2 linked regions of the Neodiprion lecontei genome follow. The protein of the gene in region 1 interacts with the protein of each later gene in a pairwise test. Links are inferred from orthologs where the notes say so. Each region holds a gene or a part of one and is shown in the gene's direction. Other genes may lie near its edges.

Region 1 (9,687 bases):
TCAATTTAACGCACTGCGTCATTGAACGTAAGTTACTGGTTTTATATTGCTCCATGTTATTAGGTATGTACAATTTCCTAAATAGCCAGTGCTTAACCACGGTCTAACCCTAGCTTACGCTCGAAATATTCCGAAGTTGTACCAAGTTCCAACACGTGCCGATTCGTAACAAGTCTGATCATCAATTCGTTTTCCGAATTCGCACATGCGTGACAGTAAATTCTATTCTAAACACAAGAGTTTGTTGGGACATGACAACGCAGCGGTGACAATAGTCATCAGGAACAGAATAAGAAGGCTGGCAATTCCCCCCAAGATTCATACCTGATGATGCTACTTTAAGCTCCGTCTGTAACTCTGTAATTGTACCTTCAATCCGGTATTCATCCTTCTGGAGCTACAATCGCATTGGTGCATTTTCGCATAACACTGTTGTGATTGCTTAAAACTTTCTGTACATGGAGATTCAACCGTGCGATGAAGACTTTATAGTCAATGCCATTTACGTCAATGCGATGTGATTCTCAATTAGCCGTTTCGTATCTGATCGTCATTTCGTTTTTACTCCAGTGCGAGTTACTTTTCACGCGAACCAATAAAAGAACAACGATGCTGGAAGACGAGAATAAATCGTCCGAGGATAGAAATCCAAATGAAAGTGCAACCCAACCTCAAAATACACAGACGTCAGCTGTCAAAGAGAGATCCGAATATTTTGAGAAATTGGAAAAATGGCTGCAGGAGGCGTACGTCTGTCAGAGTGTAGCGGCAATGTTTCCTTACTACGTAATGTCAACGCAAATGTTGAACCCTACCACTGGTATGAATTAGAAATCAAATATCGGCTTCAACTTTTCGTCCGCTTGCTAGTTTTAAATTGCATATAATGATTGTTGCTAGCTAGTCTCAACTGTTCAATTTCAGTTTGTTGAATTTAAGTTCAGATAATTGAAAACATTCGTGGATCTATGTTTATTTGCATCAGGTGTCAATCCATTCCAGCAAGTACCAAGCAACGCTGGTTTTGCAACAGCGTCAAATGTACAAGCCAATGCTGACGTAAACAGTCCTGAAACTAACGAAGGTCTCAGACTAAGGAGACCTCCAGATACTGCCGGAATACCACGACCGCCTGGAGCCGAAGGTAGAAGGTCATAAAAATAACTCCTGTGTTCTTCAATTATTAACACAGGTTCAGCCTGCATTTGATTTCATTACAGAACAAAACTCCTGCATCAGGTCAGACTAAGTCATCCGCTGGGAGGAAGAAGGTGTTGTTTCGGTAACTAGAAATTGGTTTTATAAAAATTGATCTTGAAACATCATCTTTTTCAAATTGAAGCTGAAACAACATGTTTTTCACGGCAAAGCTGAAACAACATCTTTTTCACAGCAAAGCCTAAACAACACCTTTTTTATGATAAAGCCGAAACAACACCTTCTTCCTCCCAGCCGATGAAATGTGGTACAAATGTTTGGCTACAAATTTTATTGATCATGCTGGTCTACCGAGATGAATTTTTCTCACATATTCTGCCTGTATACAATATTTGTAGAAATAGTCTGCAGACATTTATAAATTCATTCCTCTCCGCTTAGTAACAAAGATGTTCAGCTAAACTTCCTGTGAATTTACAATTTTCTTCCATAAAATCTGTTTTTTTTAACTACCATTTCTCCATCTGATTCATCTAAATCATCTTTGTTTTCTATTCAAATATTGCTGCAAAAAGCTAATTTCTATATTTCACTGTTCTTCAAATAGGTCCAATATCGATTATGATAAACTAGTTATCGGTGGAAAAGGATATCTAATACATTTTATTAAAAATTCATTGCTTCAATTACCAACATATTTAATTTCTTTGAAATTTTAATAAAAAATGACACATCAATTTCATAAGATTTAAAGAGAAGAAAATGAGAAATGTTCATGAAAATGTAATCTACAAGTCTGTTTACGATTCTGATACATTGTAAAAAGTGATTAAGATGCAGTAATTTTGAGACATCTATCATGCATGTCATACTCATTCCGTTGGTTTGACGGTATTTGTTAAAAGGAACAATAAATCTTCACTTGCAGGTTTTGAATATCGTATACCGCCACTTTGGAAACGATTTTTTGCAGAGTTCATTGACTTCATGGTACTATTCTTTCTTAAACTTTCCATTACATTTATTGCCGTCGACTTTTTCGATTTTATGTAAGTCACAACTATAAACACTAGGGCTTCGGAGTAGTTATGCTTCTCAGGAGCCCTCAGAATACTCAGAATTTCAAATTTCAATCAGCAAACAATTGTTCCTTGATTTTTTCAGAGACATAGAACGATACGATTTAGACATGATACAGAAAAATCTTCGTATTGATTACGAAATGGCTCTAGAAATGACATCTGGAATACTGATCTTGGAGTTAATTCATCGCATCATTGTGTGCATTTTCGAGGTAACTATCTCTTCGTACTTTTCATTTCTCTGTCAGCAAATTAAATATTACAACTGTACAGTCGGCCCTTCTTATGTTATAACTAAAATAGTTTGAGACGATCTCAGCGATCAGACAATTTGAAATGAAACATGCTTCCTTTTTAAAGGTCCATTATTTATAGACGTATCTAAAAGAATCAGTAGCATCTGCAAAATAGGGTATCAGCTTCTTAGAAACTGGGGGGTTCGTAATAACGAAAGAAGAAAAATACCAGCGCAATTTTTAATGTTGATAACCTTGTAGGCACTCTGGCTTCAGCATGGTATAAATGGCTGCATAGGTGGAGCTACACCAGGTAAAATTGTAATGGGATTGCGTGTGGTACAGTGTCGAAATGTAACGCCCATAGAAAGACCTGATGGTTCTGATTTAGTATTCATCACCCCTGGTACAGATCTAGGATTTCCATTATCTCTTGGTCGATCGATAGTCAAGAATTTGATCTTAGCATTTCTGTTTCCTATTTCCTTTGCCCTGTTTTTCTTCAGGTTCAACAGAACTGGTTACGATCTTGTTTGTAACTCAATTGTGATCGAATGTCCTTATAGAGATAGAGCAAATAACAGAGCTCGGCAACAGCAACAGTAATCGATCGTGACTACTCAAAGTTTGATTAATTCTATGGCAGGATATAAATAATGGAAGCTGAAATATTCTGCTGTAGAAAACTGTTTATAATACTTAAATGCTTTGTTTAATTATTTTTTTCTCTAGTACCTTGTCAATGCGTACTATCTAGCCAAGGTTCACACCTGCATATTGCATATATGTAAATATGTAATAAAATTTATAATTAAGCTATTATATAAATTACCATACACCATGTTGTGCATAAACCTACAAAATGAATGTATTCATTTCATTGTGACCAAATGAACCATCGTTACTGATTGAGTAAAAAGTGTAATAAAAGGAATTTATTTTGCTATACTACTTTAACTCATTGCGAATATCTGTATTTTGTACTATTGACATTGAATTTTAAACTACCACATAATGTAAACATCTTACTTTTATGTATGTGATAAAATTATAAAGCGGGAAATTATATTTCTATGTACATACATATATTCGTTAGTACATATACACGTTCAGTCAACTTTGTTCATTCAAATTTGTGAATTAAAATTCATGATTTTTTCAAAGTTTCAAGTTTTTCTTTCTGTTTTGAATATTGGGAATCCCGCATAGAATAAGAAAGTGTATAGGCTAAGACTGAAGCTGTAATATATTATGTTGTAAAAATGAATAAGAATTCCTGTATAATGCATTTACAGAATTGTAATTTGAACCGCTGGATCAGATAAAAACACCCTGGATACGGTAATAATGACGGTGTTCTACATTTACCAATTTGCTTATGGGGGGGCTTACAATATTAATTGATTATGATTCGGTAACAGACAAAAATTTCTGTATCAAAACTCGCCTCATCGTTAGCGTCCTCCACTAGACGTAAGTTCACCGGACTTGAAAATGACCAATCATTTAGAAATCTTTGGTCCCACCCGCGGTTGTATGCACGTATGTACATACATGGGTTGTACGTACCACGCGATAATGCGAGCGATAGGTGATTCGGTCGGCAAGGGTAGGACTGTTACATTCTCCTTTCACATTTTGACACATGGGATCTTTATACATCGTCATCTAGCGGCGAGTAACGAAATCGTCGGACTTTGGCATGATGGAGAAACGAAGCGTTAACACAGTGGCGTGACGTCACTTCCCAGTCAAACGTGGCTGCCGTGCCGAAAGGAGTGGCTGTTGAATCTGTCAAATTATATGGTTATTTGGAAATATTAATGACTTTTCCCATCGGCTACGGCGCGATATAGTGAGATTTGATTATTGCGTGTCAAGCAAAGTGAAACGAAGCCTCAAAATATGTCGTCTTCGGGTGATTTCGGTAACCCGCTGCGAAAATTCAAGCTCGTTTTTCTTGGTGAACAGAGCGGTGAGCATTTTGACACATATTTCAATGAATTTAAATTTAGTTTCCCTTAAGTTCTCTACTTTTTTCTTATCCACCACTCCGTTGGAGACTGAACTTTCGACATCTATACTACGCATGAATTTTCAATAACGTTCTAGGTTATAAATCGATATTTTCCCCTGTCCGTCTGCCGTAGCTGACGTGAGTCTCAAATCCGATTCGGTACTTGCAATAATACTTCGCATCGCTGTTATATATCGTTATTTATCGGACAAATAAATAATACAGCTTATTGTACCGATATCACTGGATCAAATTATATCGGTGATTGCTTTTTTTTCTGTTTTGCTGTAAATGAAAATTTACATTAATACTAGCAATCGATTTTTTTTGTTTCATCTTCTTTTTTGTTACGAATAAGAATTGAATGCTTAAATATGAAATGACCTTTTATCTGGAATCTCTAGCATTTATCTATTATAAATATTGGTATAGTAAACTGGCAGCAAAAATAAACTAAGATTAACTATCAAGTATAAGCTACTCTATTTGTACGAATGACTAATTGTAAGAGAAACAAAAAAAAAAGTAGCATTTTTCATATCCTATATTAATATTATTGAACTACTTAAATCTTCTAAAGTGATTGAATACTAGTGAAAAGTTACCAGAAAATTTTGCCAAAAAATTAAGAAATTATAAGAATACTGTTTTTTATATGCATGGAAAAAATTGCTTTATTAAGACATGGTTAATAATATTTGACTTTTCATAATAATGGTCATGTGTATTAGTTCACATTAAAGTACGTATTTACATATTAATACAGTTCCTGGGAGATGAAATTTACAGATTAATGAACAGTTATTCTGAACTTGCCTGAGCCACAATAAGCATAATGTGATTCTCCATGAACAGTTACTTGCTTACTCAATGGAAAAACAAAAACACAATTCTGCCATGTAGTTACCGGCTTTTTATGCCCCGCTCAATTGAAATTCACGCCATCAACATACAATGAATTAATAGTCTAATTTATCTAGTTTTTAGTGTATGATGCATGATGAATAACTATTTTTCAATAATCCATAATTTCATCAGATTAGGGAGAAAGATGTGAGTTTACTTTGAAAAATGAAGTGAATACACATTGAACTCATGTCGATCTATTGTCTCAAAAAATGAACACATTTAAGCAAGCTAAAATCAGCCTTTCTGACATCCAGAAGTGTTATTTGACTATTAAAAATAACGATTTTTTAACACAATGACCTAGGTGTCAAAATATTCTGAGTTTATTTATACAAATTCTCAGTGTCTTTAATTATTATTGAGATTAGTAATTTCTGACGCATGGACAGGGGAAATTCCCATAAATTTTTGGCAAAAATAATTCAATTTTATTCAGAAAAAATTGCAGAGTAGAAATACTATTGCCCTGTTTTAAAAATAACTCTGTTAGACAAACGTCATCAAAATATCTTCATCAATAATGAAAAACGGTGAAATATGAAATGATATACAATCAGTGAATTTTGTATAAACGGAATAATTTGTTCACATCTTTGTAATTATCGGCAATTATTGTAGTATCAGGGGATGTACCTCAGCATGTTTGATCCTTAGATCATGACTGATCTTCCTTGTGATTTGTTAAAAGTTGATTTTTTCAGAAAAATGATCACAGCATTATGAAACAGTCTTCTCAATATTTCGATGTTAACAAATACAGTTCAACTTGTTTTTGCTATTGATCTTGAATTAATTAACTGCGAGTTATTTAACACGCCAGAAATTTTTCATTCGGCCGGGCTACGCATTAGTATTAATTACAGACTACGTCAACTATTTCTTAGTATCATATATAAAATGATCAGAATTTTATTTCGTGTTATTTTTATTGAATAATTTGATCTTTTTGCAGTTGGTAAAACCTCCCTCATCACAAGGTTTATGTATGATAGCTTTGACAACACGTATCAGGTGCGTATTAAGATGTTTATAATTATAATTATAGTTGGAGCCATCTCTGTAATTTTTCTTTTCATTTGGCCACTATACAGTCCCGCTGCGAAAATTGATTACAAATTTTATTCAGTACTCGTAACTACTTTTACTTACTTGTAAAAGTATAAGACACTATTTATATCACTAGTTTAGAATACACATAAATAATAGATGGACAGGAAGCGATTAATTTGCATAGAAGCACTAAACGAGATTCAACCGATTTGTCGAGTTCATGTTAGTGTTTTCACTTTGCGTTTTTATTGAACGAGTAGGCCATGTACAGGATGATATTACATTATTCTTCTCACCTCAAGTTTTACATTATCATTACCTTGTTATTTAAATACAAATACCGATATCTGTTTACGTTTCAAGTTGAATAGTAAATATTTTGAAGAGTAAATTATTTACATAGATGATCAAACTCGTATCACCAGAGAGTTTCCCAGTAGTAGCTTTTTAATTGAATTTAATGATATGAGCAAAATTTACTGCTAATTGAACTGTTCGCACGTTGGTTTTTCACTCGGTATAGTTATTCGAAGACTATTCATCATTGTCCCATTAATCTTGACCTAGGAGAGACATCAGTATTATGTCATAGATGTGAAACACATTGGAAGAACCACATAACAGGTGTCTGAGGCCAATGTCAGCTGAAGTGGTAGTAGAAAGGACTAGACATTGACTTTTTCTAATAGTAATGTTCGAGGATAGGCTTTGACAAGTAAATTCAACCATGATTGATTACAGAAGTATTGAAATGTAATATTTGAATGTATATGTGATCAATTTTGATTAATCATTTGATGACTCGGTTTTCTCTATCACAGTATCAAACGATTTTATTTCTTTTCGAGAGTTAAACACCAGCACTTGTCCAGAGCTATATTTATCAATCGATGATAATTATCTCTTGAGTCTATCAATTCACAATTAGCATACATTTCAAGTCCCAAAAAATTTCCATGCCTAGGGTTATTTGATCGAAAGCTAGATATCGATCACTATTCAACACGAAGATAAGGTGTTATTTTAAATACTTGGAATTTTGTAGATTTTACTTCTTATGTTAGCTGACATTTCAATATCGTGTGACTTTATTTTCGGTGCTAGTTTTTGAAATTTTCTAATTCCTGGTAATGAACGAAACATTTATCTGCATTTTCGTCATAGTTGTTATTTCAGTACACAGTGTTGCAATTCTTGAACGGCACCTTAATAATTTCTGCAGTATTAGAATTTATTAATGAAATGTTATAGTATGGATTCAAGATGCATTTTTTCTTGAAATATTCAGCTTTATTCAGTTCAAAACTCGATTGCATTTCAAACGATCAATTGACATTGGCGCTGTATTTAAATATTGGTTCAAGCTGTTGCTAAAATTGTAAATATCTGCATCAAGTTTTAGAGTTTGTTTTTTTCAGCCTACCATTCCTTATAACGTCAATGTACTGAAAATTGTTTATAACTGCGATTCAATAACATTTAAATTTATTTCATTTTATTTATAAATTTTACGAATACAAGGTCCTTTTACATATGAATTCAAAAAGCAAAACAGCGTAGGTAGTCCAGCTGATGAATGTATAACGATTATTGGTAATTTTATTTTTATATTCGTTCGAACATTTCTTCCATTTCAAATCTAGTCTTTCGTTTTAACTTGCCATTTCTGTTTTGACTGAGTAAAATGACAAGAATATATAAAAAGAATAAGAAAATTTATTATAATTATTCAACAGCTTAGAAATAACTAAATTTTGGAATTCAATGGTCGAATAGTTCTCTAGTTATTTAAATAATGATGTTAAAAAAAAAACATGTATCTCACTTGTTAATATTTTATGGGCTCGAAATGCATCAAAGCAGGAATTTCCTAGGCTGGTCTATCAAAGTCAGCCAAATTGACCACTTGTTTTTTTTTTTACATTCTGTACGCTGTCTACATATGCATTTCTGAAATATAGCGATTGAATTTCGTTTTCACTTGATGTTATTCCATGTCTGTTACATTTGAAAATACCAATACCATTCGTAATCATTGCTCTACACCTTATTTCATAAACTTTTTTTGTTTGTTGCAGGCGACGATAGGAATTGATTTTTTGAGTAAAACTATGTATCTTGAAGATCGAACAGTTAGACTGCAGCTGTGGGACACCGCCGGACAGGAGCGATTCCGTTCCCTCATTCCTAGTTATATTAGAGACTCGACTGTTGCTGTGGTGGTGTATGACATCACTAGTAAGTTGATAGAAGATAAAATCTTCTTAAAAATCCAAAAATAAGAAATACCGGAGTTTTAAACAGAGGCTTAGGTATCGATGGTTCATTTCAAATTCTTTCAAAATGATAAAAAAATCTAGTAGATGTATTCGATTTCACTCCGTGATTACAACTGATTTTATTCAGAAGATTAATTTGTACCTACTCACTAAATACGGTTTATTTTATTATATTGGCATCATTAAATATATAACTTTTCAAAATTGCAGTAATATTGACTAAGGCCAATAAATGGCAATATTGAATCAAGTACTGAGAAAAAAAAGAAAATCTATTTCAGTGAATTTGTAAAAAATAGTCTTCTCAATAAAATGGGCCATCTTAGAGTGAAGTTGAACGAATCTGAGTGATTTTCAACCGTTCTAACATGATTCGAAATTAAGCATCAACATATAAGGCTCTTTTTATAATTCAAGTATTTTCTATTTTTTTAGTTTTAAAGTGATCTGTGTAGGTTACGAATATAGTAATTTAATAAATTCTCAATGCATAACAATCTCATAGTGAAATTAATAAAGAGTATCAATTTCCCCTGTTCACTATCATATTAACGTTATTAATTCAAAATATTAATATTTTTTAATAAAGTTGCAGGAAAAAATCTAACACAATGTCATAGAATAATAATATGATTTCGTACCTAAAATCAGTGCAGCCCCAATATTTTCAGGTGAAATAGAGATTAGAGTACGAATTAATTATTCATTCATGTTGTTCATAGATGCTAACTCCTTTCACCAAACATCCAAATGGATCGACGATGTTCGGACGGAACGAGGTAGCGACGTCATCATAATGCTAGTAGGCAATAAAACTGATTTAAGTGACAAAAGACAAGTTTCCACAGAAGAGGGAGAACGAAAGGCAAAGGAACTAAACGTTATGTTCATTGAGACCAGTGCTAAAGCTGGCTACAATGTGAAACAGGTACAAGAGTTTAAATTGCTATTAACAT
Region 2 (12,801 bases), on another chromosome or scaffold:
ATTCCTGTAAATTCGATTGTGTACTTCTTTTGGCATTCAATAATTCTAATTCCAATGCAGAGATCTTATCTCTGCAGGAATTTCGATCTCTGGCAACATCCTCGCACTTTTTCTTTAAAGACTCATGTGCGATTTCCAACTGGGCTATTTTTAATCTAGCATCATCCAAATTTGTTTGTAGTTCCGACATTTTTTTCCTCTCTTCGACTACATTCGAAAGCTTTTCTTCCAAACGTTTGCAATCATCTTCAAGCTGCAATAGGATATGATAGCCATAAAGAGTATATTTGACTATAAATGTGCTCTGTATCATGAAAAACAATCTTTAAACAACATACATACCTGAGTAATTTTATCTACATGCTCAGAGCAGTGATCTGGTAAAATTACACTTATGTTACGGTTTGGGTAAGCATTACGCAGTTCTTTCAGCGTTTCTTCTTTCGCTGCAAACAAGAAAGACAAAATCAATGGTCAGAAATTGACGTCTATAAAGGTGCTTCAAAACCCAAATCAAAATGGTTTCTCCTCACTTCTCTCAATTTCAACATGTATTCTTTTTGCATGTTCTTCTCTTCTCTGCCTTTCATGACTCAAATCTTTTTCCAGTTCTACAGTTTTACTCCTATAAAGCTCACACTCTTTAGTTAGCCTCTTTATAACGGATGCCTGAGTTTCTAAGTCACGATTCATCTTGTCCGCCATTGCCTTATGTGTCTCAAAGTCTGCATACGTTACTTTTAATTCCGCAATTTCTTCCTGATGCTGTGCTATCAGTTGCTCTTTTGTACCACAAACATCTACGTATAATTCTTTAACTCGATCTAGTTCTTTTTGGGTCTGTTCCAATTGCACTCTGTGAAACATGGTAAATTTTTATAACAATTGATTCTAAAGATGTTCAAATAAACTATGGTCATCATGCAATGTTCTTGTTTTGGGTTATGATACTTACGATAACTGAACTATTTCAACTTGCGCTTCCTGCCTGACTCTTTGTACAGCCTTTTCGTGAATTTCTAAATACTCTTTGTTGTATTCTCCCACAGCTTCTTTCTCTTGCTCTGCCAATATTTCCTGATGCACACGTCTTAAATTTTCCTCATTTTTAACTAAAGCCTGCTGTAGTTTACGCTCGAGTTCATTTTTTTCTGTCTGCAGGTTATCACAAAGTTTTTTTGTATCATTCAAGTGATCAGAAAGCTTTTGTATCTCCGCGTTTGCTTTCATAGCTTTGTCCGTCAAAAGAGATTTCAATTCCATTTCCAACTCGTTGACCCGCCTTGCATATCTCGCTGCTTCTTCTTGACATGTTTGAGCCAAGGATGAAGCTTGTTCGACCTCTCTTTCTTTTTGGGCAAGAGTATTTTCTAGACGATTTATCTCTTTCCTCTTAACTGCTTGTCCTGCCAAGCATCTATAATAAAAACAGCATTTTAATTAAAAGATCTTCATTCTGGTATTGAGTAATCATCGAAAGACGAATTAGAAATACCGCTGCAATTCTCCTCGCAGTTTATTGGTAATATCATCAGCTGGTTTACTCTTAGATCTATTGTGAAGTTCGCCCAACTTTAGTTGCCTCATAGAGTCGGATTCCTCTTCACACGTAGTTGCCAGCAGTGAGTCATATTGTGTAATATCGCTCTTGGCTAAATCCAATTTCCGCTAGAAGTAAATGAACTCTTGTCAAGTATTCACGGAAAGAAAGATGCTTAGACGACAATCCTTACCTGCAGTTCGTGTACAGTTTTAACAAGCTCGTCCTTCTCCTCCGTCACAATTCTAAGCTGAGTTTCCAACTTCGTAACTTCCTGCACATTGTGACTGGCCATCAGATGACGACATTGAGCCTGACTTTCCTCTAGCGCACGCGACAGACGATTCATCGTATCTCCTTTATCTACCATTAATGTTTCATGCGCCCTCCTTACATCAGCTAACTTGTGTTCCAGAGCGACATAAGATGTTTCCTAATTATTTTAAAACAACCAGTAAATTTTCACATTTTAATATCAATTTTTCTTGATCGATGTAATCAGGAGATATTACACAAATCAGTATTACTCTGGAGCAAATTTAAATGAAATAATTTTTTCAAGGAAGCAAACGCAAACTTCTATGCAGAAGATCAGACACTTGCCCAAATGTCGCTGCTGCTAGAATCCATGATTAGCAGCTTCATCAAAAATTACAAAAGATCTCGTGTTATTTTATACTATGAAATTATGTAAAAGGTTCATTAGTTCAAGTGAATACCTTAGCATTTAATTTATCTGTAAGAGCATCTATCTGTATCTGCATGTTCTTCATCTCTATGGTGTGTTTTTCTTGAGCTTGTTTCAAAAATTTTTCATGAGTTTTATCAGTTGTCTGCAACATTTGTACTCTTTCTAGGACCGCTATTTTTTGTTGAAGATCGGCCACCGAATTTTTGGAAATGCTGAGCTCTTCACCCATCTGTTGAAGTGGGTAATAGAAATTATTATTATTATTCTTATGGAACGAAATAACACAAAACTCTCTGATCTTTATTATGCCTCACATTTTGCTTAGTCTTTTCCAATACAGCAACGTTTTCTTTCAAAGCTGCTAATTTTGCCTGGAGATCACCTATTTCCACTTTAGCGTCCACTGGAAAAATCAAAACAATTGTAAAAAAGTTTGACAAATTTTTGCTCACATCAATGTAAAATATTTACCAAGTAAATTCTGTGCCTGATTTCTCGACAGGTTAGATCTTTCCACTTCAGCTTGAGCAAGAGCAAGCTTTCTACTGAGCTGACTTGTCTCTTCTTTTCGTTCCTCTTGCAACTGTTGCAATTCTTCCGTTAACCTTTGAATTTCTCGCATTCTAACAGAATACAATACTTGCAATTGTTCATTACTATTATACTCTGCGGTCTTATAGGCTGTATTCTCATCGACAGGACCGCCATTTGGACTGGTTTGAAAGCAATGCTGAAAATGATCTGAAGTGACTTCGCTATCTCCTCCGCCAAATTCCTGAATAGCTTTATACGGGCCATTTTTTTCGTAATTGTCGATATACCCGTTGTCGCGATAATTTTCAGTCGCTGTTCCAAAGCGACTGGTTGGAGTTTTGTAATTAGCTGGATAACTCTCAGGAAAAGTATACCCCTCGCTAAGCTGAGCTCTGATATTGTGAGGATACCCAGGATTCGATGGTTTGGGCAATTCATAAGGACTGTCCAACGAATTGACCATATTATTTGCAGTATTCTTACTATACGGTGTTTCCGGTTGCCCATACACCCCGTATTCTCTCTGTATGTCTGAAATAGTAGGGCCACGATCTGCATTTTGGTGTTCGAAATTGGACTGGGGTTGATCATTGCAATCATTACTGGCGTCGACGCGTCCGTACACCCCGAATTCTCGTTGTATTTGAGAAACCGTCGGACCACTCTCAGAGCGCGTAGTTTCAAAAACTAACCCTCCTGCATGACTCCGTTCTGTGTCTCTGGTAACGTCATTGTAGCATCTACTGCTGTTGACTGAGCTGGCTTCGTCGTCGTCGTTGTCGAGGTCGTCAAAAGCATTTGTCAAAATGTTTTTGATCTTGAAAAAATTACGAAAAGGGTTTATAGTGCAAGAAACGGAGGGGTTTGGGTTTGTTTACCAAGAAGAGAGTTAACATTCACCTCCTCATTCCGGCGCTTGATGTCTTCTTGTTCTTCATCCTCCTCTTGGCGCTGGGCGGTTGTGTTCAACTGGATGCTATCGGATCCTTGAAACAAACTTATACCAGGCCCTTCCATCCCGAAGCCTGCTTAACGCCGAACAACTATGTTATATCATTGATTTGTGAATAAAGTACCTTTGTTTATAGGGCCATAACCTACGTGCAACAAGTGTGTCATCGATAACTAGTCGCATTTAACACAACGGGGTTGAATGTTGTTCAGAAATACATTCCGGGATGTTTATGAAACTGTTGCCACCGACCCTGCCTTGATATTGATAATGGATTTGACTAAATTCGATTGAACGTTAACGGGGGAAAACGCTTGTAAACAATCTTTGAAAAGTCAAACACCACTCTATAGCATATTACACGCACCGGAAATATCAAATTACGTACTAGTTGCGTCGCGCTCCCGCCAACCTCGCGTAACCGGATAGACGCCATCCTGATTCATCAGTGACAGAAAAACTTCGTACGTTATCAGCTCTCCTCAAATCTCGTAGGAACAAAAGACACTCGACTTGTCCCCAAACAATCATTCAGAATTTTTATAAAACTTGAATTGACCGATTCGTTCATGCAGGATGAAAGCCGTAATTCAACGAGTTACACAAGCTAGTGTATCAGGTGAGAGTACTTGATTGCGTTAGGTTACACAGTAGCTGATTTGATTACAGTATTCGCGATAAATTTTGAATTTCCAAATAAATATTTATTGCACTCTAGCTTCGAATCAATATGCACCAACACTACTGTCAGACAAATATTTGGGTGATTAAACGATTTCTTCAAATTTTTTTCTTCTCGAGTTAATGGTGAAATCATCAGTTGCATCGGACGGGGACTCTGCGTTTTAATAGGACTAAAAAAAGACGACAATGCGGCAGATATGGAATACATGTAATTTAACTCGCCTCAATAATTTAATGTATCTTTCACATATTTTCATAAATTGCTAAGAACCTGATGGGACCTTTGAATATATTCGATTTTAAAACAGAATCCGCAAGATTCTTAACACTAAAATCTTCGAGGACGAAAATGAGAAAAGATGGTCTACAAACGTTGTGGATAAAAATTATGAAATTCTATGTGTCAGCCAGTTCACCTTGTACCATCAATTGAAGGGGAATAAACTGGATTTTCACAGAGCAATGCCAGCTACGGAATCGGAACCATTTTACAACAATTTTCTCCTTGAACTTGGCAAACAGTACAAACCCGAGTTGATAAAAGGTATGTAAATACTCTTCACCCTCTTCACAATTTATAAGTGTACTACAACCATACCTACAATACATTTTTCAGATGGGAAATTTGGCGCAATGATGCAAGTTCTAATCGAGAATGATGGACCAGTCACCCTGGAGATTGAATCACCTGTTAGAGTATCTCAGTGATTTAAAGACGTCGTGCGCTTGAGTCTGGAAATAAAATAAATTCTAAAAATTCTGCTTTAAGCCCACGCCTAATTCCTGCCTTGCGACCATTCATCTGTTCTAAAATAAATCAAAGATGGTGTCACTAATCAGTGCGAGAAAGAGCACGAAATTATAACGTTGGCAATACTGGAAGCACGTGTGCTCGTGAATATGATTGCAATCGCCAGCTGTCATACGCTATCCTATTTAACATCTCCGTTTCATTTCTGAATTGATTTATAAGCTCAATCACCTATGAATATTGCAAGCATACGTTGTATTCAACCTGTAAGTCCAGAAGGTGATTAATAAAATGGAAAAAACTAGCAAGAAGGAGCTCTGGGAAATCGTAGACAAGCAGAGGCAAAAGCTAACCAAGTATGAAAACCGTTTGAGAGGTTGGTAATAGCTGAGTGCAGCGGAATAAAAAATGGCGCGCAACATTTGAAACGCTCGGGTAACCGGACACGCGACGATGTACATCTAATTTGTATATTATTTCAGATATCGTGCCGGCGTACGAAAGTCTAATAAAGGAAAAAGAAGCCCTAGAAGAAAGCCTCAAAGCTTTTATCCTTAAAACTAAGGCTGACGTTGATAAACATGATAAACCGTCGGATTTGAAAACTGGCACTGAACCGGTACTTGAAGATGAATCGCATTACTATACTTACAAGCGATTGCGTATTCATATTATCAATCCATAGTTGTATATGGGATGCAGTAAATGTTCGTTGAATACTTTTTTGACAAACTTTATACTTTCAGGTGCCCAATTCTAAAAAAGAAGCAAGCCAACCAGAGACGGTGGAGCAGTTAAAAACTCAGCTTAGTGCCCTGATGAATTCACTAGCAACTCTTTCGGCAGAAAAATCAAAAATGGAGGCGAATTTTCAGTCTGATAAAAAACAGCTGCGTACGGAAAGAGAAGAAGTGAGTGCAATTAAATTTTAAAAACAGCAATATTTGTCTAAATTGATATTTTGAAACATCTTTTGATTTGATTATGTGAAATATTTTCCAGTATGAAAAAGTTATCAGAGAGTTGAGAGAAAAATTAAAACAGGCACAAAAAGAGACACGCTCCGAGGTTGAACATGTTAAGTATAAACTGATCATGGAACGGCATGAACGGGAAAAGGAGCAAGCTGATCATTCTGCAATGATTAAGTACATATACCTCACTTGTATGAAGATTGCTTTCGACCATTGTTGGTACATTGGCTTGCATGCAGATTAACTAATCGAATATTTTTTGCCTTGACCAACTTGTTATTACAGCAAATTTTTTTCAAACTTCACAATGAAATTGTTAAGGTAATAATGTGGATTATATTATCAATTTGTAGGGAACTGCAAAGACTGCTCAACGACGAAAGATGCGCCAAAGAACAGTTGGAAAACCAAGTTAGAGATCTAAAGATCAACGTCGCGAGTAAAGAGCAAAGTAAGTTGCTAGAGGCGGAGTTAGAAATTGCTAGGAATAAATTGAAACAAGCAGAGGCAGCTGCAAAAGAAACTCCTCCACTGCTACTTTCTTTACAATCTGAAATGGCGAGTTTAAAACAACAACATCGCAATGCAATTCAAGAGGTAACAATAGCACAGAGTTCATAAAATTGTTACTTCCAATGAACGACCGATTGTATAATATCTCATTGTATATAGGAACAAAAAAGAGCCTCTGCCGCAGAACAACAGGCAAGAATTCTAGCAATGACGCATGAATCCAGAGTCGCAGGGTTGGAGGCTCGATTAGCAGAATTATCGGAAACAGTCGGAGGATACGATAGACTGAGGCATCAGGATCAGCAAGCTATTCAAAAGCTAAAGGACCAATTGGCCAACTTGCAGGGGGCTGGATGTAAAGATAAAGAAACAGGAAGGTTTGAAAATGATCCAGAAGAAATTGCAGCTAAAATAAAGAAGCTCTATGCTCGTATGTCGGACCTGGCTAATCAGGACAAGTCGTCTGATATCAAAAGTAACGTATCCTCCAGGTCTATTTTAATAGTTAGCTCAATCGTGCAAGTTCTACTCAGAGTTTATGAACAAAAATGTCAGATCTTTTAGGTAAATTAAATCTACGCGATGTTAACGAGGATCTAGAGTACAAAGAAAAGTTTGAAAAGCTAGAGCAAGAATTCGAAGATTTTAAATTGAAAACATCGGCCCAGCTTCGTCATGCGATACCTGATTCCTCACTGAATAAAGAACGGGACAAAATTACTGCTTCTGAATCAAATGAAAGTGGCAATTACAAACTGCAGTTGAATGCTGCTAAATTGCAGGTTAAAAATTTGGAAGAAAGATTGCGCAGATCGCATGCAGATATAATTAACAAAGAAAAAGAATGCAAATCTCAATTAGAAAATCAGCAACAGGTAATAAAAATACAGAATATGTGGGCAAAAACAAATTTGTCACTCAAGTTTTAACAGTAATAACCGCAGTCGATGTATTGCAGCTACTCAGAGAAGAACGATTGAAAAGTGAACGATCGCTATCTCTGAAAGAGAATGAATTCCGAGGGAAGATTTCAACTTTGGAACATCAGCTTCAACGTCAAAGGGAACGAACATTAGTATTAATTCAGGAAAAGGACCAAGAAATTCAAACCTTAAAGTCGTCATTTCACGCGTTACTGCCAAAGAAAGCTTCTTCTGGAGATCAGGAAGACCGCTCCAAATCTCCAACTCCGGACAATATTTCCGAGCCAGCAGTTGATCTCGTTACAGGCTTGCTGACAGCCGACAGTCCACCTATGCTCCATTACGCTCAAGAATTGGCGCGGCGAGAAGTCCAGGTTTCAGGATTACGAAAAAGCAATATGAAAATGGAAGCAGATATTAGAGAGAAACACAGAGAATATATAAAAGCTACTGAAAGACACAGGGAGGAATTGAAGAGACTAGAAAATGAAGTTACAAGGTACGCTAGGGAACTAGAAGAGAAATATTATAATAACTAGCATTAAAAAAATGTTTTCAACTCAACTTTTTCCACGTATGCATGTAGATTGAAAGCCTACAAATCCAGAGAAGGTGCAAATCTCGAGTACTTGAAGAATGTCGTACTCAATTACCTCCTGACTAATGATGCATCCAGTAAGCGGCATATGTTGAATGCTATTTCTACAATTCTTCACTTCACTCCGGAAGAGGTGGAGAAAATTCGTCACCTCAAACGACATTGATGAGTAAGTTGATATCAATTCCAGTTGATTTTCATTGCGTTAAAATTACCAGTATTGATATGTGTAACCCGTGCTTCCTCTTCAGATATATCGATTAAATGGTGCTACATTCGTCATTATATTCGTTTCTTGAAAGTAATCGGAGCAAAATCATCAGGGTGTCACGTTTCGAGCAGGATTATTTCTCTCTGCGACTACCTTGGCCTGGACAATCTGCCTGGGGTAAAAGGTGAAAAATTTCGCAATTATTCATTCTTCACTCATCGTACGAGTGAGAAAAAACATTCCCTTTATCCACTATAAATAGTTAATCGACTAGAACATTAGATATAGCATTTAAATTATTTATAAAACGATACGAAAATATTCTATGTAATGTGTTTGATGAGAGATATCCAAAGGACTATCAAATTGTACGAGACAGTAAAAAGAAACTTGATTTAGCGATAAATTCTTAGATTTCATGTAGTTTCTGGTCTTGTTAAGAAGTGGATACGAAAAGACTCAAAAGACACGTTCAAACTATTAATTCTACATGAAATTTATTATATCGCTTTCTCTACATGAAGTGATCACATTGTTGGCATTGAAAAAATATCCTCAAGCAATATTTTCTATCTAATGCCTACTGCAAGTACTCGGGATGTACGAAGTACACATTATGTAACACATTTACAATAAAATTATTAATATATATATATATGTAATATATATATATATATATATATATATTATATATGCATGTGTGTATATTATTTAAATGATTCATATACTTGAGTCTATAATATCGTTACAGTTTATTGATTATGATTATACGTATCGTCATATCGCACAATCAAATATTTATCGTTTTATGTACAGGAAAGGCTAGTGGAGAAAGACTGCAGCTCATGCAGGATTGTGCAAATTGTTACCAATTCTCTTTATCGAACAACATGAAATAATAAACATCTCTCGCTTCGATCACATTCTCGATAATATAATATAACACGTACCTCTATTTGTATATAATTTACGTTCTCTAATGCGATTTATAATAGCATCAAAATGATACAACATTACGGAAGTTTACGCGGTCGATTTTTATCTTAACAAAGATATTCATATTTATACTAAAAGATTAATAATATGTTGTAACTAACAGCGGACTGGGTTTTGTTGTATATGTACCATATATACAAGTAAGCTACATTCACCTGACAAATCAAGCTCGAAGTAGAAGCTTGAAAATTACTTGAAAATCAACAGTTATAATCAACCTCTTCCCAAAATGGGAATACAAAATTTAGATTTTCAATCGTAAGTACAATACAAAAATTCGTCGAAATATACGTGAACACGTTAAAAATGTACCCACCGAACGATCGATACTAAATATTAACATTTAACTGATTTCGTAAAAATGTACTTACGAATAAAAAGTAGAAAATTTATTTTCAACACTTCGAAGGCATATTGTGTCTCTACAATATCGTTCAGTTATTAATGTAAGCTCAATATGTCGGCGATTGTCAACACAGATTTCAACATCTTATTTATTCTGTCACACGCAATTTCCTATTTTAGACATTAAATAATTCGATTCACGCATCTCTTTTAACGCGACATTCACCCGAATATCAATTATCCAATTTCTCTAGCAAATATTCAATTTAATTTATGTATTTTTCCCTGTCACTTAATTTTATTTTCAAATAATTGTTACGTCTTGGTATCGTAATTAACATTATTATTATTACTATTACCATTATTATTATTATTATTATATATCTCAATTATTATTACAGTCATATAACAGTATGATTTATACATCGTATTATATACACATTAAAGTATGTAATACCCTTAAAAATTTATGCTTTTCAAAAAAAATAATACATCCAATGTTTTTCCTCAAAAAATTGAAACAGAAATTTACTTCCTAATTATCGTTTCAGAGTATCTTGATTAAAATTAACAAAACTTCATACACCGTATGGCTGTTCCCAAAAGCAATTGAATCACTGAGTATTCAATTAGTTGTCGACAATAAATTGTTACGTATAGCAATTTGAAGAAAATATCATTTGGTTTCATTTATTCTCAATGAGGAAGTTCCTTTTCCCACAACAGAAATGCATTTCAATTATTACGATGTTTGGTCTATAAGGCATGACTGTGAATTTCTAAGCATCGAAAAGTTTTTACCGTTAAACCACTTAAATTTCTAATGTTGATGTAAGCATCCATATAGCCACGCGGTAATATGATTGCATTAATAATCGTTACCTCGTACTGCGGCTGTCGTCAAAATGTTCACACAATATTCAATATTTGTTCATTTCATTTTTTGGTAATCTTATAAATTGTCAGAAAGGATCGTTCTCGCTACTTTGGGGAATCCATGCACCAGATCTCGACTTTAGCTACAAGGAAAGCGAATCGAATTGTAATACATTATAGACATTAACCGAAGTTTCAACCAGCTAATTGATATTCGTGTGATCATTGCACCTGTCTTTAATTTATCTTAACCAAAAATACCCTTAAATACTGTTTTCTGTTATCTGTTAATACAACGATGTGCGCGACGGAGAATTAAATGACTTTTAGCAAACTTTCAAGTATTATGAAACACATACTTTATAGAACATTGGAAACTGTACTAAAAAAGCATAACCTATTTGCAAATATGCAATACAGTGTTCCGGATTCATCTAACTAAATTTAATTAATTAAAATGTTATAACGAACAAATTTTATAATACATCGTCAAAATGTGCACTTCGAAATTATTGTACAGTCACTTTATAAATTTGGTCTAGCGTGTACTAATCGGCTGGTGAAGTCTCAGGTAGGCTTTAAAGTCTACCAAGCACCACCGATGCTTGTTTTATTACCTTAAAGCATAGCGTGTGTCGCAATCATTTACGGCTACTTATCTGCACACGCATACTTTGGGTGTAATTGAAAATTGTAAATGAACCAAACATGACCACCGCTGTCGATAAAGAGTTTCAAGCTTCTGCCAGATAGTGGCTATTATAAAATGTCAAATATATGTTTATCATACTCGTCATTTCGTACATGTATATATCAGTGCATACTTTACAAATTATACACGCATACATACAGAGAGGGTCGTTTGAAGCAGACCTTTGATATTCACGTTCAAAGTTTCGTTCCAGTTATCTCAAGGTACACGGAATCACCTCAAGTAGTTTGAAAGATCAGTTTCAAAATATCCTCATCGTCTTCGTTATGTATGTGTCACATTTGTATATAATCACAACGTTGAGTAGTAAAGATTTACATCATACATCAAAGGTATTTTTATTGAAAAAAAAGAAAAGAAAAAAGAAGAATTTACCGCATGGATATATTGATTAATAGATAGACATTATCACTTGTACGTGTGGTATTCATTTTATCTAATTCATATTTCGATAACATTATACTTGATTGATATAGTGTATTATATTTAACAATTTTAGAAATATTTCAAAATTAAACAATAAGAAATATAAGAATGACGACGACGACAGTAATAATAATGATAATGATAATAATGATGATGATGATAATAATAATAATAATAATAATAATAATAGTAATAAGTAATTAATAATTATATCGTGGTAAAAATACAATAACACAAATAATAATATAAAAAGTATTTAGGGGAGGGTATAATTTGGATGTTGGTAAGGCTCGCTGTTCGTCGTAAGTTGTCGAGTTTTTTTCTTCCTATCTTTCTTTATCAAACATCATAGCATTTCTATGAATGTAATTCTTTGATATTCTTCCTCTCTTCCTTTGACGAAATGGAGAAAAAAAGAGGATAACGAATATGTTCAGGGAGATAAATTATTGAGCGAGGAAACTGCTAGCTATTATAGCCGCCCAGCGGTTTATCCTTTATAGTTCTGCTTTTCTAAATCACAGTCATACAAGCAACGGCTAATAGTCACCAAGCAAATTTCTTCGCATTATTCAACGAGTTACGAAAAATATGTATGTATAAATAAGAAAAAAAAAACTTGTAGATAATAATAATAATAGTAGTAATTTTCAAGAAACTTATTTAAAAATCTTATCAATACTGGAAAATAGCTTACTTAAAATTTAAATCAAGTACAAAATGTGGTAAATTTTACTAATTGTTGTTCGAGCGAGGCAAGGATGAGGATTTTACGAGACTCTACAATATCGCTTATCGGCCGCAATCCCCATTTACATAAGGAAATTTCACTGTCAGAGAGCGTCTTAGTGTTCATCTTCTGTAAGTTCCCCCACCCCCCATAGAATAAGGTCCTTGACAACATCGTGTTACGCAATAATCCTATCATGTGCTTTTCTGCATAAGATAAAAATTATCTTCAACAAATGACGGACTAATGGCTAATTTTTCAATCGAACCATTGTTATTTCATATCTGGGCGACATTTTACTGCAAATTTCCGAAGAAATCAAAGAACAATATAATCTGTGACAAA

The links.
Region 2: the proteins of ras-related protein Rab6 (region 1) and GRIP and coiled-coil domain-containing protein 1 interact in a two-hybrid assay, tested with the Drosophila melanogaster proteins (2 studies listed by BioGRID). The link is inferred for Neodiprion lecontei from reciprocal best matches to the Drosophila melanogaster genes Rab6 and GCC88.

The regions. Positions count from the first base shown.
Region 1 is NC_060263.1:23,057,019-23,066,705, reverse strand, and holds the start of ras-related protein Rab6, read left to right. Parts: upstream 1-4,206; 5' UTR 4,207-4,381; coding exon 4,382-4,451; intron 4,452-6,354; coding exon 6,355-6,413; intron 6,414-8,530; coding exon 8,531-8,690; intron 8,691-9,453; coding exon 9,454-9,659; intron 9,660-9,687. Other genes in the region: protein FAM8A1, read left to right, coding at 206-301, 571-820, 986-1,144, 2,087-2,207, 2,323-2,452, 2,738-3,082. UniProt on the Drosophila melanogaster protein: Protein transport. Regulator of membrane traffic from the Golgi apparatus towards the endoplasmic reticulum (ER). Mediates membrane trafficking during egg chamber growth and organization, possibly upstream of exocyst component Sec5.
Region 2 is NC_060266.1:25,189,932-25,202,732, reverse strand, and holds GRIP and coiled-coil domain-containing protein 1, read left to right. Parts: upstream 1-5,247; 5' UTR 5,248-5,443; coding exon 5,444-5,528; intron 5,529-5,634; coding exon 5,635-5,771; intron 5,772-5,898; coding exon 5,899-6,063; intron 6,064-6,154; coding exon 6,155-6,345; intron 6,346-6,479; coding exon 6,480-6,723; intron 6,724-6,798; coding exon 6,799-7,114; intron 7,115-7,194; coding exon 7,195-7,514; intron 7,515-7,597; coding exon 7,598-8,061; intron 8,062-8,148; coding exon 8,149-8,326; 3' UTR 8,327-8,329; intron 8,330-8,411; 3' UTR 8,412-11,636; downstream 11,637-12,801. Other genes in the region: centrosomal protein of 152 kDa-like, read right to left, coding at 1-253, 343-446, 534-856, 956-1,417, 1,496-1,668, 1,734-1,973, 2,260-2,460, 2,546-2,634 and 3 more; D-aminoacyl-tRNA deacylase 1, read left to right, coding at 4,294-4,336, 4,519-4,609, 4,710-4,945, 5,018-5,109.